Macaca fascicularis: one gene and its partners. The protein of the gene in region 2 interacts with the protein of the main gene of each other region in a biochemical or structural test. Links are inferred from orthologs where the notes say so. Each region holds a gene or a part of one and is shown on either strand. Other genes may lie near its edges.

Region 1 (4,027 bases), about 79 Mb from region 2:
ACCAACCAACAACAACAACAACAACAACAACAAACTACAAAAGCAAAGAAGGTCCAAGGCCCAGAAGGAGGGAGGGGCTCTGAAGACTTTATCAGGCTTTACCTCCTCTGGTCCTCCCAAAAGCCCAGCTCTTGGTAGGTGCTGTTGTCCATTTCACAGATGAGAACACTGAGGGGGAAGTAATTACCCTACAGGTGGGAAGAACAGAGTGAGGGTACCCAACAGGTAGCAAACGACAGAGCTGGGGGAGGGGAGCCCCTGCCCCTCCCCTGCCCCTCCCCTGCCCCTCCCCTGCCCCTCCCCTAATCTCTGAGGGGATCAAGACAGAGGTAAACAAGCTTTGCTGTGCGCAGGACAATTGTTACTTTGTTATTCCAAGAGCGCTCTGCCTTCTCCCACCCCCAATATACCCCAGTGCCGCTGTTAGGCACTACTCATCCCCGCGGGGCAGGCTGCCACCAGCCCACCCCGCCTGGAACCTTCCTGATTTCTCTGTCCCTCGCGGGGGCTTTGGGGTCCTTCTCACCAGGTCTGCACGTGGGCCCCCTGCCCCCAATCCCTCCCGTTCCGACCTGCCTCTCGCGCACCCGGAGCCCCGACGAGAGGGGGAAGGCAGGGGGTGGGTGCTGCAGCTGGAAGGCTGCGGACGGGCGGCAGTGGAGGGCCAGTCCCCCTGGCTTCGGGTATGGAGCACTGGATGCTGCTGCTACCCAAGTGTGAACCTCGGTTTTCATATTCGTGAAATAGGCTTAAAAACACCTAAGTCCCGAAGCTGCCAGCCTAAGGAGCACGTTTTTGAACGCTGGCTTCACGCTGTCATTTAGCAAGTCATTTCGTCCTCTTGGAGCCTCGGTGGGTAAAATGATCGTGAAAAAAAGCACCGAGGAGTACTTTGAGCTCGAAGGGAGGCCATCTGTGTAAAGGGCTTGGATTATACACCCAGATTCTGTCAATGGATCGATCTCGACTGCACGCCCGTGCTGGGCGCAGGGGAAACAGCGACGCACGGGACAAAACAAGCTTGCAGAACCGCAGGGGGCAGAGAGGCTGTAAACAAGCCAACCGGCTGCACTTGTAGCGGTTCTGTTGCCAATGCCATTCAGACCCCAGTCCGGGATTCCGCGCTCGGGGTGCGAGAGGCCGCTCCCGGGGCGGGGCGGGACCCGGGCGGGGCGGGAGGGGCGGGGCGCCCGGACCTATTAGGTCCCGCGCCGGCAGCCGGGCAGTAGACACGAAGCTTCTCCGGTGGCTCACAGACGCTGCCAGCATCGCCGCCGCCAGGTGAGTGCCCCTGACCCTGCTGCCGCCCGCCGCTCCACCCAGCTCGAGCCCGGCGGTTAGCGCCCAGGCCGCGGCCCGGGTGCCGAGCGGCTGGAAGTGTGGGGACCCGTGCCCAGGTTTTTCCGCCTCAGCAAGTCGCTGGCGAGTCCCTTGTGGGGCGACGTCTCGGGACTCCGGCTCCGAAACATCCCCTTTCTGCCCAGGGCTCCAGGTCCCCGACGGCCGATCGTGCCAGGCGCGGCCCCTGCGGGCCTCAGTCTCCGCGCCTGTGCAATGGGGTGGTTCCTCTGCGTCTCACCGCTATGGCCGGACGCTCCATCGCCCTCGCACCATCCTCGAGGGCGGCTTCCGGGCACCGGACTCCGACCTCTGGGGTCGTGCGGACCCGGCCAGAGCGCAGCGCGGCACCGCCAGCCCACGGCCGCTGCCGCACAGCCCCGGTGCCCTTAAAAGAGGGAAGATGGCGTCGTGCCCGGTGCTGCTGGGACCGGCTCCCAGAGGCGCTGTGCACCTAAGGGCCGAGGAAATGCTTCGTAACGGGACGCCCAGAAAGTCCGGAACAGGAACGTGCACCCGGAGCGGCGCGCAGCCGCCCGCCCACACCTGCCCATGCGCCCTGCACAGGTGCGCCCCGGACTGGTCGCGGGGACTAGAGCCCGGCTGGGGCGTGCGACCTTGTTAGGTAAATTGGGGGTGCGCCCCTGCGGGTGACCCGAGAGGGGTCCCCCCGCCTGCGGGGCGCGGTCACGACAAGGCTTGTGGGGTTCGGAGCTGGTCGTCGTCTGGGCTCTGGCCTCCTAAATGCGATCGCTTTCAAGCCCCTTCATTGTCAGTTTTGCCAGAATGAGCCACTTGTGGGGTAGGACGTGGTTGTTGATGTTGTTGTTGCTCTTACTACTGTAACATTTTTGTTGCTGTTTTAACGCAGTGTTTACTGTGGCCTGGGAGCCCGAGCTTCCCAGGGAGGTTGGTGTCTGCCTCATGTCCCCACATTAGGAGGAGCAGAGTCTGGTGGGCACTAGCGCCGGGAAGTTATTAACATCTGTCCGTCCTTGGGAGCAGGAGGCCTCGTTTTCCAGGTGGAGAAACAAGAGATTTCAGTCACAGGAGGCACAGAAATGCCAGGGTTGTCTAGCTGGAAGCCAAGGACCCTTTATGGAACCCAAGCCAAAACCTCTTTACACTCTCCAGCCCTGTGGCCTCCGAAGGGCTATTCCATCTCTCTGAACCTCAGTTCCTTCTGTTCATTCTGCAAAATGTATTTCTGAGGTTTCTGCCCAGATGAAGAAAGCCCGACTCAAGTTAGTAGCCTCCGTGTAGTTAAGACTTACCCTGATTTCTACTTAATTTGGGCATGTCTTTGGAATAAGTTCTCAGAAATGGCACAGTCTGGGTGTTTTTTTGTTTTGTTTTGTTTTGTTTTTTGAAACAAGAGCTTTGCTTTTGTTGCCCAGGCTGGAGTGCAGGGGCGTGATCTCGGCTCACTGCAACCTCCACTTCCTGGGTTCAAGCCATTCTCCTGCCTTAGCCTCCCTAGTAGCTGGGATTACAGGCGCCCACCACGACACCCAGCTAATTTTTTGTATTTTTAGTAGAGACGGGATTTCACCATGTTGGCCAAGGTAGTCTCGAACTCCTCCTGACCTCAGGCGATCCACCCACCTCAGCCTCCCAAAGTGCTGGGATTACAGATGTGGCCCCATGCCCGGCCCTTTTATTATTATTACTATTATTATTATTATTATCATTATTGTCTTAAGGATATTAAGACTAAAATTCTCACACATTTGACACGTGCCTGTAATCCTAGCACTTTGGGAGGCTGAGGCAGGAGGATTGCTTGAGCTCAGTAGATTGAGACCAGACTGGGTAACATGGTGAAACACTGTCTCTACCAAAAAAAGCAAAAAATTAACTGGGCATGGTGGCATGTGCCTCTGTTCCTAGCTACCCAGGAGGCTGAGTTCAGAGGACTACCTGAGCTTGGAGGGGTTAAGGCTGCAGTGAGCCCTGATCACACCACTGCACTCTAGCCGGGGAGACAGAGTGAGACCCTGTCTCAAAAAAAGGAGCATTAGGCTGGGCATGGTGGCTGACATCTGTAATCCTAGCACTTTGGGAGGCCGAGGGAGATGGATCACCTGAGGTCAGGAGTTGTGCAACTAGCCTGGCCAACATGGCAAAATCAGTCTGTTTTAAAAATGCAAAAATTAGCCAGGCGTGTTGGAGTATGCCTGTAATCCCAGCTACTTGGGAGACTGAGGCAGGAGAACTGCTTGACCCTGGGAGGCGGAGGTTGCACTGAGCTGAGATCATACCACTGCACTCCAGCCTGGGCCACAGAGTGAGACTCTCTGTCAAAGGAAAAAAAAAGCATCAAATGGTAGATCCCCAGTGTCTGTTACAGCTCAGGTACTCTATGGCTAGATAGAGGGGCTGCATACATATTAGTTATTGTAAGTTTTTTTTTATTTGAGACGGAGTTTCACTCTTGTTGCCCAGGCTGGAGTGCAATGGCTGGGAATACATGCGTGAGCCACCTCGCCTGGCTCAAGTTTCTTACACATTTGACTTGCCTGTAATCACAGCACTTTGGGAGGCCAAGGCGGGAGGATTGCTTGAACCCAGGAGGTGGAGATTGCAGTGAGCAGAGATGGCACCACTCACTGCACTCAGCCTGGGCTAACATGAGACTCCATCTCAGAAAAAAAAAAAAAAAATGATATCTTATGCCACAGAGCTGCAA
Region 2 (3,688 bases):
TGAGATTACAGGGTGTGAACTGCCACTTTGTTTTTCTTTTGTTATAGGAATGTCAGTCATAGAATCTTCTGCTGGGTGAGGAAAGGCATCACACCTTTCCCCGACACCCTACAGCAGCCAGAGCCGTGCTTGTGTCTGTCTCCTCCACTAGAATGAATGCTACGTAAAGGCAAAGATTTTGTTTGAAGAAGTCCCCAGTGCCCAGGACTATGTCTGTGTAGAGCAGAGCTCAGTAAACACTTGCCAAGTGGCTGTCTCTCCCACTAGAATGTCAGCTCCTGAGGGCAGAGACTCTCTGTCCCATCACATGCAGCCCCAGTGCCCAGCACACAGCATGTGCTCAATAAAACCCTGTCCTGGTACAGGTGGATACATTCAGGCCCAGAAGGAAGGAAGGACTTGTTCAGGGCCCTCCCCTGCGGTGGCAGAGCCAGGACCAGTACCCAGCTCTCCAGTGGCCCCTCCTTTCTCCATCCCAGAGCACACAAGAGCCCAGGCTCTTTGTTCACTGAGTAAACACAGTTTATTACTGAACTGCACTTTCACCTTCACACAGACTATTTCAAAGAGCTGGAACAAGTGTGGGGTGGGGGTTGGGGGAGGGGCAGGTGCCCCTCAGGAGCCAGGACCCTCGGCCAGCTTCCCTGGACCAGGGCAGGGGAGGGAGCATCAGGCCGTCCAATCTCCGGGCACCAGCTCTCCACGTGCACGCGCACTGCAAGCCAGCAGCTCCTCACACATAAATACAGACACGCTTAACAAAAATAGTATATCATCTTCACAAGGAATAAAAACTAGTCTCGAATATGTACAGCAGAGCGCCCGGGGTGGCTGGGACCCCTGGGGATGAGACAGGCCAAGGGTGGAGAAGAGAGAGGGAGGCCTGAAGAGCTCCTGGCCAGGCCACTCTGACCTTGGTAGCCTGGCTCCCCAGGCTGGACAGGCGTGGGGCACAGATGTGCCTGGCCAGGCAGGACTGGCCCTTCTAGTCAGCCCTACCCCACCCCATGCAGCAGGCTCTCCTTCCTGCCCTTCCTGCCTGAGGTAGGGAAGAGCCTGGGGCTCATAGCTGTTCCTGATAGCTTCCTTTCACCTTAGGACTGAGTCCCCTGAACCCGCCATGAGGAGCAGCCCAAGCCTGTGGTGCCACAGGCTGCTCTTGTAGGAAGTGAGGCAGCTGAGGCCATAAACAGCTCTGGGGCACCTGTCTTGGGCCCAGTTGGTCCCTCAGTCATGGTCATGGGAGCCAGGGAGGGGAAGGGACTAGGGTGGTGCTGAACTGCAAGGGCCACCCTAGCATTGGCATGGGGTGCTTCCTGCAGCTATAGCCCCCTCCCTCCTGGGTGGGGCTGGCCTCTAGCCAGAGGCTTCTGGAGGACATGTGGACTGGGAGTGAGGACTCTAGCCAGTCCAGAGGTGAGGAGGGAGTCCTGGTCCTTGCATCTTTATCCCAAGCAGCCTGAATCCCTAGTCAAAAGTGGCCCCTAAATGGCTCTTAGGGGGTAGGGATGGAAGGAACGGGAACCCAGGTTAGTGTGGGGGGGGCGGGGGAATGATCAATTCTGAGGCCACAAACATCAAAACAAAGGCAATCTAGTCTCCTTTCTGGGGAAGAGGTTCTGAAAACTTTCAAGCTCCCTGGCAGAAAAACATTTTCAGGGAGGCTAAAGGGTAAGGGTTGCACCAATCAGGTAGGGCCCTCCTGCCCCTAGCCACAAACCCTTCCATACCTGCCAGCCTCCTTGGGATAGATTTTGTGGAAATTTTATGAATTCTGAGGCCAAGGGAACTGAGGTGTGGGGGTCTCACAGAAGTGTGATAAATTCTAGAAAACTAACTGCAGGGGACCAGATCTGGGCCCAACCCTGTGGTGGGTAGGTGGGCATGGCCTGCATATAGTGGTTCTCCTGGTGGCAATGGCGGCTGGACGGAGGATGTGGTGGGGCAGAGGGTGGGAGGGTAGAGTGGATAGTCAGTGTCTGGTCATTTCCGACTGAAGAGTGAGCCCAGCAGAACCACGCCGGCCACAGTCATGCCCGTCAGGAACCAGCGGTTGAAGCGCTCCTGGCCCTTTCGGCTCTCGGCTGCTGCATTGTTCCCATAGAGTTCCACAAAAGTGTCCTGCAGGGAGAGAGAAGGAAGGCGCAGTTTGAATTCTCAGAGTAATGTAGGTGGGTGGGGAAAGGGGCCATGTGCATGCTATGGCCTTGGTGACATGAAAAACTGTAGCCATCCGTGCCCACTCTGGGCCAGGTAAAGGGCTAAGGGTGGTCCTCTTTCTTGACCCTCAGTTGGTGATAACCAAACCATGTTACTGCTCAGAAAACAGGTAGAGAGGAGGAAAGTGCCCTGAGGTCAGCAAGTAGCACTTTCTCCAGAATCCAAGGTGGGAACGAGATGGGCAGGGTCAGGGAACTGATGGAAGCCAGGTGACTGGAGCAGAGTGCAGGAGAAGAGGGCATGGGGGAGATGATGGTGCAGGGGTGAGCAGGAGCCAGACCATGTGTGGCCGGGAAGCCGCGAGGAGCCTGGAGTTGAGTCTGAGGGTAGTGTGGAGTGTGGAGACACTAGGCCTCAGACTTTCTACTGCTGCACCAGAGGGAGGGACAAGGAAGCCCAGGGCTAAATCCCCAGGGTGATTTGGGGCCAATTCAGGGGTAGACTGGGTCCTGGGACTTCAGCCAGAGGCTCCTCCCTCTGGAGGGAGTCTCTGGTGGGCAGGTTGGTGATGAGAAGAGCACGGCAGAGAAGAGAGGGTAACAATGACGCAGGACTGAGAGGCCTCCATGATGGGGTCTGTGAGGCCTTGTCCCTGTCCTCCACTGCAGGGAGTGTGACTCTGCGCCCAGGAGGTTGTGATCAACAGCCCTCTGCTCCGAATCTAAGTCAGAAGGGAAGCACATGATAGGGGGAAGGAGGAGCTGTGGGCTAAACTACCCAGCCCAGGGTGCAGCAGCCTGTGGGGCAGGGAGAGGGACACTTAGAACATACTTTTTTATGAGTAAGCATTGTACCCAATTTGTCCTTTAATCCTCCCAACAATTCTGCAATGCAGGCTGTCTCTCCCCATTTACAGGCCAAGAAGCTGTGCCCAAGGGCCAAGGACCCAAGGAGTAGATCAAGGTCACCCATCTGTGTCAGTGGTGGAGCCAGAATCCAAAACTGGTGTCTGGCACCTAGAAATATGTAAGAAAGAAGTTCCAGGCTGGGTGTGGTGGCTCATGCCTATAATCCCAGCACTTTGGGAGGCTGAGGCGGGTGGATCGCCTGAGGTCAGGAGTTAAGACAAGTCTGGCCAACATGGTGAAACCCCGTCTCTACTAAAAATACAAAAATTAGCCAGGTGTGGTAGCACGCACCTGTAATCCCAGTTACTCAGGAGGCTGAGGCACGAGAATTGTTTGAACCTGGGAGGTGGAGGTTGCAGGGAGCAGAAATCATACCACTGCACTCCAGCCTGGGTGACAGAGACTCCGTCTCAACAATAACAACAACAAAAAAGTAAGTTCCGTGTGTGTGTGTGTAAAATGAATGAGTTACTGGCTGATTCTTGCCTCTCTACCAAGACCTCTGCCACACTGGGCCTACATTTCCAACCGGTCCCAAACAGGCGAGTGGCTGCTCCGTCAGGGCATGCCATCTCCAGTTGGCCTCAGGTCTCACCTACCAATTTGCTCACTTGTGACCC
Region 3 (3,551 bases), on a different chromosome or scaffold from region 2:
CCCGCCCCTCCCGCAGCCTCCCCTTCCAGGCCCCGGGAGCGGTCCCATCCCTGACACTTAACACACCGGTAAACGGGAACACAGTCAGGCTCCGGCCCGAGTCCTCCGCCTCCCGGGAGGGTGCACCCGACATCCCGCACGCCTGGTCCCAGGAGGGGAGCGCTTATCCAGTCTCCTGGACAACAGAACCAGAGAAAGACGTGTCCCAGCCCTCTCCACAGTGCTATTTGATTTTACTCCCTTCCTCTCTTTCCTTCTCATTCACTTTTCAATTGTCTTGCAACTTGTTTTCCAGGCAGTTTCTCTTTTTCTCTATCCTCCCCAAACTTCTTGTCCCTCCCCATCTCGTCGCCTGTTTTTTCTCTCCCTCTTCACCCACTTTTTTTTCTGCCTCTTCCCAAATTCCACGCTTTGGACTTCGCGTCTGTCGCTCAACTTCCTTTTTCTGCTCCCCGCGATAGATCTAAAATGTTTTTCCCGTCCCTGGAACTGGGCAGCCTCAGCCTGACCCCTTTCAGTCGCGGGAGCTCCCAGCCTCTCCAACAGGAGAGGGAGAAGGCGGGGAGAAGTGGATGGGACCCCCGGCGCCCGGGAGCCGAGCGGAGAGCGCCCCGAAGTGCGCACTTCTCTTTGCCAGCGCCCGGGCTGCGCGGGCCCACGCGACATCTGTCGCCTGCGGTCCCGGCTCACACCCCGCGCACCCCCGCAGCTCCCTGGGCGCTGCCACCCCCCACGCTCCGGCTGCCGCCTTTCCCCGCGGGCGCAGACGCTCGGGCCTCGCCTTCGGGCGCCGCTCCAACTTCCCAGGGTGTCTGCGGCGCGCGGCGGGGCTCGGCGGCGGGGACCCAATGGCGGCTGGCTATGTCACCTTTGATATTCACCTTCCGGCCCTAGACTCATCTATGGTGGGCTCAGCCTGATTCTCCCTCATTTTCTGCAGCGCTCCTCGCTACTCCAGGATCCAGAGTAGTAAGACGATGCTTACACTGTGCGCTTCCTCAAAGCGCCTAGCACAGTGCCAGGCGCACAGCTAGGGCACAATAATTCCCCCACCCCAAGAACCTAGTATCTTCCTCCCACTGATACCGACCACACTAGGCGCTCAATACCCACTTCCCGTCCTAAGTTCTCAAAGCATTACCCCCCTAAACAGTGCCCAGCACCCCGAAGGAGCTCAATAAATGTTCCTTCCTTAAGGCTTCCCATTGGAGTTTGCCTGAAAGCCTTCTATTCCAGCCCACTCCGAAGGCGTCTCCTTCCCATCGCAGCTACAACCGTCTGGAGAGAAGGAAGCCAAACTCCTTAAACAGGACACCTCACTGGAGAAGGAGCGACGTTGGCAGGGCAGAAGAAAACTGCAAATGCGCGGAGCTTGGGAAGAAAGATTGGGCCAGCCAGAAACCTGGAAGGGGAGGAAGTCTCGAGATGCGCTTGCGGTGCCAGAGAATGGGGATCAGAGATTGGAGAAGTGACACTTAGGGAGAAGAGGTTGGGAGCAAAGGTGATGGAGACGGTGGCGACTCAGGAACAGCAAGAGGCTTGGAAGGGGACCGAGGACCTTTCTTGGAACTGCGATAGACTTTAAGTATTTGCCGTGGCTTACAACTATATTCTCATCGCAGGCACACTTTTTATTTGCATTGTGTGTTTATTTGTGGGGCTGGTGGGGATTATGGAGGTTGAAGTCCTCCTCAAGCCACCGAGCTATAAGTGAGTAGCAAGATGCGCTTAAGGACTCGGAGAGATAGGGGCAGAAATGGTGGACCTGACACTTGGAAGGAAAGACTGGGGACTGGGTAGGAGAGGGGAGCCGGAGATGCTTGCAAGAGAAAAGAACGGAGGAAGAAGGAGAAGGGAAGAGAAAAAAGCCAAACTTGCCACTCTCCCGCTCCCGGGCCAGTGCCCAGCTGCCGCGCCCTGGCTCTCGGTCGCTCGCTCGCGTACCTGTTGCTTGCTCCGGCTGGGTCTCGGCTCCGGCCCCACCAAGAAGCCCCGCGTTCCTACAAGTTCCGCCTGCCGAGCAGCCAGGCCGCCAGCGCCGCCACCTGCGCGGCCGCGCACAGCCAGGGCCAGTAGGTGGGGAGCGCGCCGGACGCCGGCGCCCTCCGGCTCCGCGCGCGGCGCCGCCACATGGTGCGCTGGTGCAGCTCGTCGCCAAGCGCCTTGAGCCGGGCGGCGGTGAGCTGCGCGGCGGACGAGCGCAGCCCCAAGCGACCCGCGCTGCAGGCGCACACGGCCGGGGGGCCGCGGCCGCGGTGCAGGGGGCACGGGCACATGACCGCTGGCCTCGCTCCCGCCCCGCGCTCGGGCCGCCCCTCGCCTCCTCTCCCTCCGGCCTCTGCGCCCGCTGCCGCCGCGCTCCAGCCGCCGGGGGCCTCCCCTGGACACCAAGTTTCTCCTTGTGTTGTGCGTTTGTTGTGCTGACGGCGCTATTATTAATTAAAGTGTCACATGGTGGAGGGGGGCGGGGAGGGGGGTTACATCATCCGGCCCCCGGGGGTGGGGGGGGCTGCAGGCAGAAGAAACCGAGAGGTAACTTTTAACCCTAGCGGCGCCGGCAGCAAGGGGGCGCGAGGTTTGGGAGACCCGGAGCGCGGCGCGGGGCGACGCGAGAAGGCGCCCCGCAGCGGAGGTCCCGGGCTTTGGGGGTCTCAGGGGACCCCCGCGGAGGCGAGGAGCGCGAGGGAAGGTTGTTCTCCTTCCCCTTTTCCTGAATTCAGCTCGAGTTCCGATTTGGCGAGGGAAGAAGGCTTGTTTGCCGTTTTGGATGAAGCTGATACTGAATTCGGCTGCATTATTCAAAAATATTCCGAGGCTGTTGTTTTGTTTGGGGGAGGTGGGTGGATTCAAACTCTTACGGAAGAGCAAGATTACACCTAACTTGCCTCGTTTCAGGTCTGACTTGGCACCTGTAGGCATTTAGCCTGACCCTAACGCGGCCCCAGCGCCTGGCTAGAAACCCTGACGTAGGCGTGATAGGGGGCTGGATGGGTCGGTCCTGAGCTCGCGAGGGGCGTGGATGGAGGCATTCTCGCTGCCCAGCACCCACACCCAAAAGACCCTCACAAGGGGCTTTCTAAAGGGAAACTTCTTGTCTGCTTTCTTTGTGAATATTATTTTCCTGATGGGGTTACAGTTTTCTGCGACGATCCCAATTTAATGCGCAGTGAATACCCTAAGGAGTCGGCGAGAGGAGGGGCGCGGGGGACTTTAATTCCTCCTTTTTCAACCCGACAGCCACTCCTGTGCACCTCCAGACTGGAGCGTCTGGAATTGTCACAGCCAGTGACGGTTCAGATGGGCTGGGCGGCTCTCAGCATTCTGTGGGGGGAGAATGAAACCTGCGATCTTAAATCGACTGGGATTCAGACAACTTTAGGATTCAGACGATCGGGATGAGTCCAGAGGTGGCTCCAAGTTGGGAGTCTGGAACCTGCTGAGGAAGCTTCCATTCTTTCCTTCCCACCGCACAGTATAACCAAGATTCTTCAAGTCTGTGAACTTAGTTTTGGTCTGAATTGATCAGGAGGAGAAATGTCCCTTTTGGCCTA
Region 4 (4,003 bases), on a different chromosome or scaffold from region 2:
GTGGCGAAGCTGCAGTGTGCACCTGTGTCACCAACCAGGGGCTTCTCAGACAGTGAGGAGGACCGGGAGGGGGGTGCTCAAAGGCCAGAGGAGGAGGAGGTGGGGGCGCTCAAAGACCAGAACAGGAAGCGGCTGAAGACAGGGACCGGAGCTGGATACACAGCAGGTCATCTGTGAGGTTGAGCTTTCCCTTAGAGAGGATTACTACCACTAAAGTTGGGCCAAGCATCTATTGCCACCATGTCCCGTTAGGCAATGCCAGATGGCACTGCATCAGGTGCCACACATGTGGGAGCTCTGGGCCCTTCCCAACATGGGTGACCCACCTGTCCCCCGTCACAGCTTTCTGGGGTTACGGGACCTCAGCAGCTCCAGGGACTGAAGTACTTACTCCACGAGGCCACACAGGGTACAGGCCACAGAGCCACAGCCCCAGCAGGTGCGCACACACCGCCCGCACAGGGCTCGCTCACACTGGCTGCAGACGGCCTTCCCATCTACGGCTCGCACACATGAGGAGCAGGCGATGGACACTATCCCGGATGGGTCTGTGAGGAAGAAACGCCATGCTGTCAGCCTGCAAGGAGACGGGAGTTTCCGGGACTGCTGGGCTACCTGCCTCCATGCACACCTGAGGGCAGAGGGCTCCGACCTGCTTACCCCATCCTCACCCACACTGGGTCCTTCTGACAACCCAGAAGCCTGGCACAGTGCACAGGACCCCGTTTCACTAGCGAGATCCAACGTGAGACATGCCTGCAGGTGACTCCAAGTTCAGTGCTCCTTCCCTCACCAGGTCCCTCTGCTACCTGCTGGAAGGATCATTCTTCCCCTGCTGCTTGTCGAACTCCATGTGTCCCATCTGGGTCTCAAAGTGTGGCCCACTGCCTTACTGGTTAACCAAGAGGTGCCTGAGCTCCTCCCAGACACACCAACCAGCCTTGAGGTAGGGTCGGGGACTGCATTTCTGACCAGCAACACAGGTGATGCTCTGAGACCCACACTCCACACTGCACAGGGATGGGAGCGGCGTGTTTCCAGCCATGTGGGACCATTCCAGGGGGCTGCACGCGGAAAGCAGATGGGATACCCAGGGAGTCTCTGCTGCTTTTCTGGCCCAGTAGTTAGAAACTGTTTAATCACTTCCAGTCTTGAATGTGAGACCTCCTGATAACAGGAGCCTTCTGAGCCAGAAGGCCAAGCTCTAGGTCAGACTCCTGCTTCCCCAGGGAGGAAAAGCCTGAGCTTGCAAATGAAGAAAAGTGCCTGTGCCACCACCTGCTCTCAGTGCCACAGCCACGAAGGGCTGCTGGTGCCACTCACCAGCTTCGGAGGCCTGCCCAAGGCTCCTGATCAGGCGGCCGTCTGGTCCAATCAGCATCTGCCCACGTGCAGCCCTCGGCGCCCCTGTAGGGCCAGGCTTTGGGGACTCTGGCAGGTGAACGACGGCACAGCCTTCATCCCACACATGGTCCAGGTAGGCCTGGGCCCCGAGGAAGAGGAGTCGCTTGGTCTTCTCTGGGGGAAGACAAATCATTCTCACATCCTTCACTGTGTACCAACGAAGCCCCTGCATGGCCACTTAGTCTTTCCAGCCTCACATGAACCCCATCGTCCTCCTGTGTGCCCTCTGTCACCCAGTGACCCCAGCCTGTGTTGTGCCCTGGCGAGCTGGGTCCTGCTCTGCCTCTGAGAATGCTCGTGCCTCCCTTCCTTACCTGGCTTAGTTGTCATCTCCTCCAGGAAGGCTCAGGCCCTGCAGCCCCACCTGTGCCTGATGCAAGGGTTCCCTCTCCTATCACTCTGCTCACTTTCGGCAACTCACGGCCGGCCTTGCCTCACTGAGCTTGTTCCCCTTTCTCCCTTTTCTGCTTCCCCAGCACTCCTCACCTGGAAAGCAGGCTCTGTGGAATGCACAGAGGGAGCTCTGCACTGTGGAGCACTAATTCACAAAGCTTGTCACTGCCAAGGAAGCAGCCAGAAGCTTGGAGCTGGGCCTGCAGCCTCTGGCCAGCGCACACCCCCTTCGCCTGCTACAGAGTTGCTGGCAAGACAAGCATCCCAGAACCTTCCAGATCTCGTTCTAGAATACCCACCCATCCCTGGGAGCAGTGATTTTCCATCAGGCCACAGTTCAGTCACTGGGGGAGGTTCCAAAAATCAGATGCCCAGGACCAGACCCAGAAATGCTTTGTTTTTGCTTTTTTTTTCCCACCTCATTATAACACAGTAAAGGCAGAGATCCCAGAAACTCTATGTGGCTTTACATGAAATGGGCAGCAATAATAGTGGGTAACTCAAATGGAGTAGCTGATGCCAGCCCACAACACCCTGCACCTCTTCCTTCTGGCCCCCCATACCTTCCCCCATCTATAATGGGAAAGGAATGGGACAGACATGTGGTGAGGCTAATCCTTGTCCTTAAGGCCTTGTGGACAATTCGAGGTTAAGAGATCAGGGTGACAGCTGTGGCCTGGAATTTGGAAACTGTCACACAGTTCAAAGTAGGTGTCCTGCATTTACCTACTTTGTAAAGAGTAAAGAGCCAGACTGAGCCAGGCCCCGTTTCCATCTTCCTTTCTTGCCTGCACAGTGTTTGAATTTTTCAACTGTCCTGAGAGGGCAGGCGCCTGCAGTCCAGCCACAGTTCCCATGGCATCATTCCTCTTAACTCCGCATGGCCCGGGATAGCACTCGCTTGCACAGCCCTAGCACACTGGAGACACGGCACACAGGAACCTCGGGAGGAAGCGTCTTTCCTTCATCCCCAAGGCACAAGCGGCACCAGACAAATCACACCCCCCGGGTCATCCTCTAACGGCTCTACAGGTGCAGACCTTGTGCCCCAACCACTAGGCAAGGTAAGCTCCACTTTGCACCTGCCCCAGGGTATTAATCATCCCAGTCAGAGTGATGATCAATAAGACCAACACGCCTGAAATCCAAGGGAGAAAGCCAGAGAAGGCCTGGGAGCTCACTGCCCTCACATCCCACCCAGAACTGGACATTCCAGCCACACGGAGTCCTACTTCGCTCTCCTGCTGCCTGGCTTCTGCCTCGGCCTCTTCCGTCCCTGCCTCTGCCTGATTAACTCGCACTCTCCCCACAGCATTCGGCTCAGACTCTGTTCTTCCGAGAAGCCTTCCATGCCGTCCCTGCAGGTGCGACTGCACAAACCTGTGCCTGCCCGGATCACCTGTGGCGATTCCTTCTCCTGCTGGTCTCCCCAACTAGGTTGCGGAGCTCCCGGGAGACGGGACACATCTGTCTTGCCCGCCTTTGGTCTCCCAGGACAGCCGCAGTGCCTGGCAGGGGCGGCGCGCTCCATGAATACCTCTTGGGTCAGGAGGGGCACTCTTCAGGTTAACTCCATGCAGGACGCCCCGCTCCCCGACCTCTCCCAGGGCATCCTGCACGGGACAGTCCTGAAGAAGCACCAGGCAGCTGCCGCTCACTGAGGGGCGGCGACTAACTGGGATCGTGGAAGAGGGCACGGGGACTAAGGGCAGCGACCCTCTTCTTTCAGGTTGTTGGACAAGGTGGGTGAACGCTGGGGTCCTCACATCCCCCTCACTGACTCCAGCCCTGGGCGTGGCCAGCTTGTGTAACCGCGGCCAGAAAGCAGGGCCCTCGAGCCCCCCGCTCAGGCCTCAGAGGAGACACTGAGGTCCGGCCCGTTCCAGGCCCCGACGCAGTGGACCCTCGGCAGCCCTTCCGGCACTCACCGAAGACCTCCTGCGAGTAGCGCTCGGCACACACGCCGCGGCTCACCTCCCTCTGGCCCACGCGGACCTTGAGCTGTAGCGGGGCCGCGTCCGCGAAAGGGCAGCCCCGCTTGGGCATTGCCTCGGGGCCGGGAGCTACGCAGCCCCCCGGCCGCCAGCCCCTTACCAACGACGCAGTGACGTCACAGCCGCGCGCCCATCCGCGGGCGTGAGCGGGTTTGAGGCAGAGGAAGCGACGCGGCGCGTGATAGGCTGCGGGTGAAGTGGGGGGCGGGGCT

Evidence for each region.
Region 1: the proteins of BCL2L1 (region 2) and BIK interact in a test that uses a peptide from one of them, tested with the Homo sapiens proteins (3 studies listed by BioGRID and IntAct, with this or other methods). The link is inferred for Macaca fascicularis from reciprocal best matches to the Homo sapiens genes BCL2L1 and BIK.
Region 3: the proteins of BCL2L1 (region 2) and HRK interact in a biophysical measurement, tested with the Homo sapiens proteins (3 studies listed by BioGRID and IntAct, with this or other methods). The link is inferred for Macaca fascicularis from reciprocal best matches to the Homo sapiens genes BCL2L1 and HRK.
Region 4: the proteins of BCL2L1 (region 2) and SIVA1 form a complex in vitro, tested with the Homo sapiens proteins (2 studies listed by BioGRID and IntAct). The link is inferred for Macaca fascicularis from reciprocal best matches to the Homo sapiens genes BCL2L1 and SIVA1.

The regions. Positions count from the first base shown.
Region 1 is NC_088384.1:8,473,708-8,477,734, reverse strand, and holds the start of BIK (bcl-2-interacting killer), read left to right. Parts: upstream 1-1,227; 5' UTR 1,228-1,281; intron 1,282-4,027.
Region 2 is NC_088384.1:87,749,910-87,753,597, forward strand, and holds the end of BCL2L1 (bcl-2-like protein 1), read right to left. Parts: intron 2,122-3,688; coding exon 1,984-2,121; 3' UTR 501-1,983; downstream 1-500. UniProt on the Homo sapiens protein: Potent inhibitor of cell death. Inhibits activation of caspases. Appears to regulate cell death by blocking the voltage-dependent anion channel (VDAC) by binding to it and preventing the release of the caspase activator, CYC1, from the mitochondrial membrane.
Region 3 is NC_088385.1:123,848,729-123,852,279, forward strand, and holds the start of HRK (activator of apoptosis harakiri), read right to left. Parts: upstream 2,411-3,551; 5' UTR 2,277-2,410; coding exon 2,001-2,276; 3' UTR 1,945-2,000; intron 1-1,944. UniProt on the Homo sapiens protein: Promotes apoptosis.
Region 4 is NC_088381.1:172,949,032-172,953,034, reverse strand, and holds the start of SIVA1 (apoptosis regulatory protein Siva), read right to left. Parts: upstream 2,801-4,003; 5' UTR 2,655-2,800; coding exon 2,528-2,654; intron 1,519-2,527; coding exon 1,324-1,518; intron 549-1,323; coding exon 392-548; intron 1-391. UniProt on the Homo sapiens protein: Induces CD27-mediated apoptosis. Inhibits BCL2L1 isoform Bcl-x(L) anti-apoptotic activity. Inhibits activation of NF-kappa-B and promotes T-cell receptor-mediated apoptosis.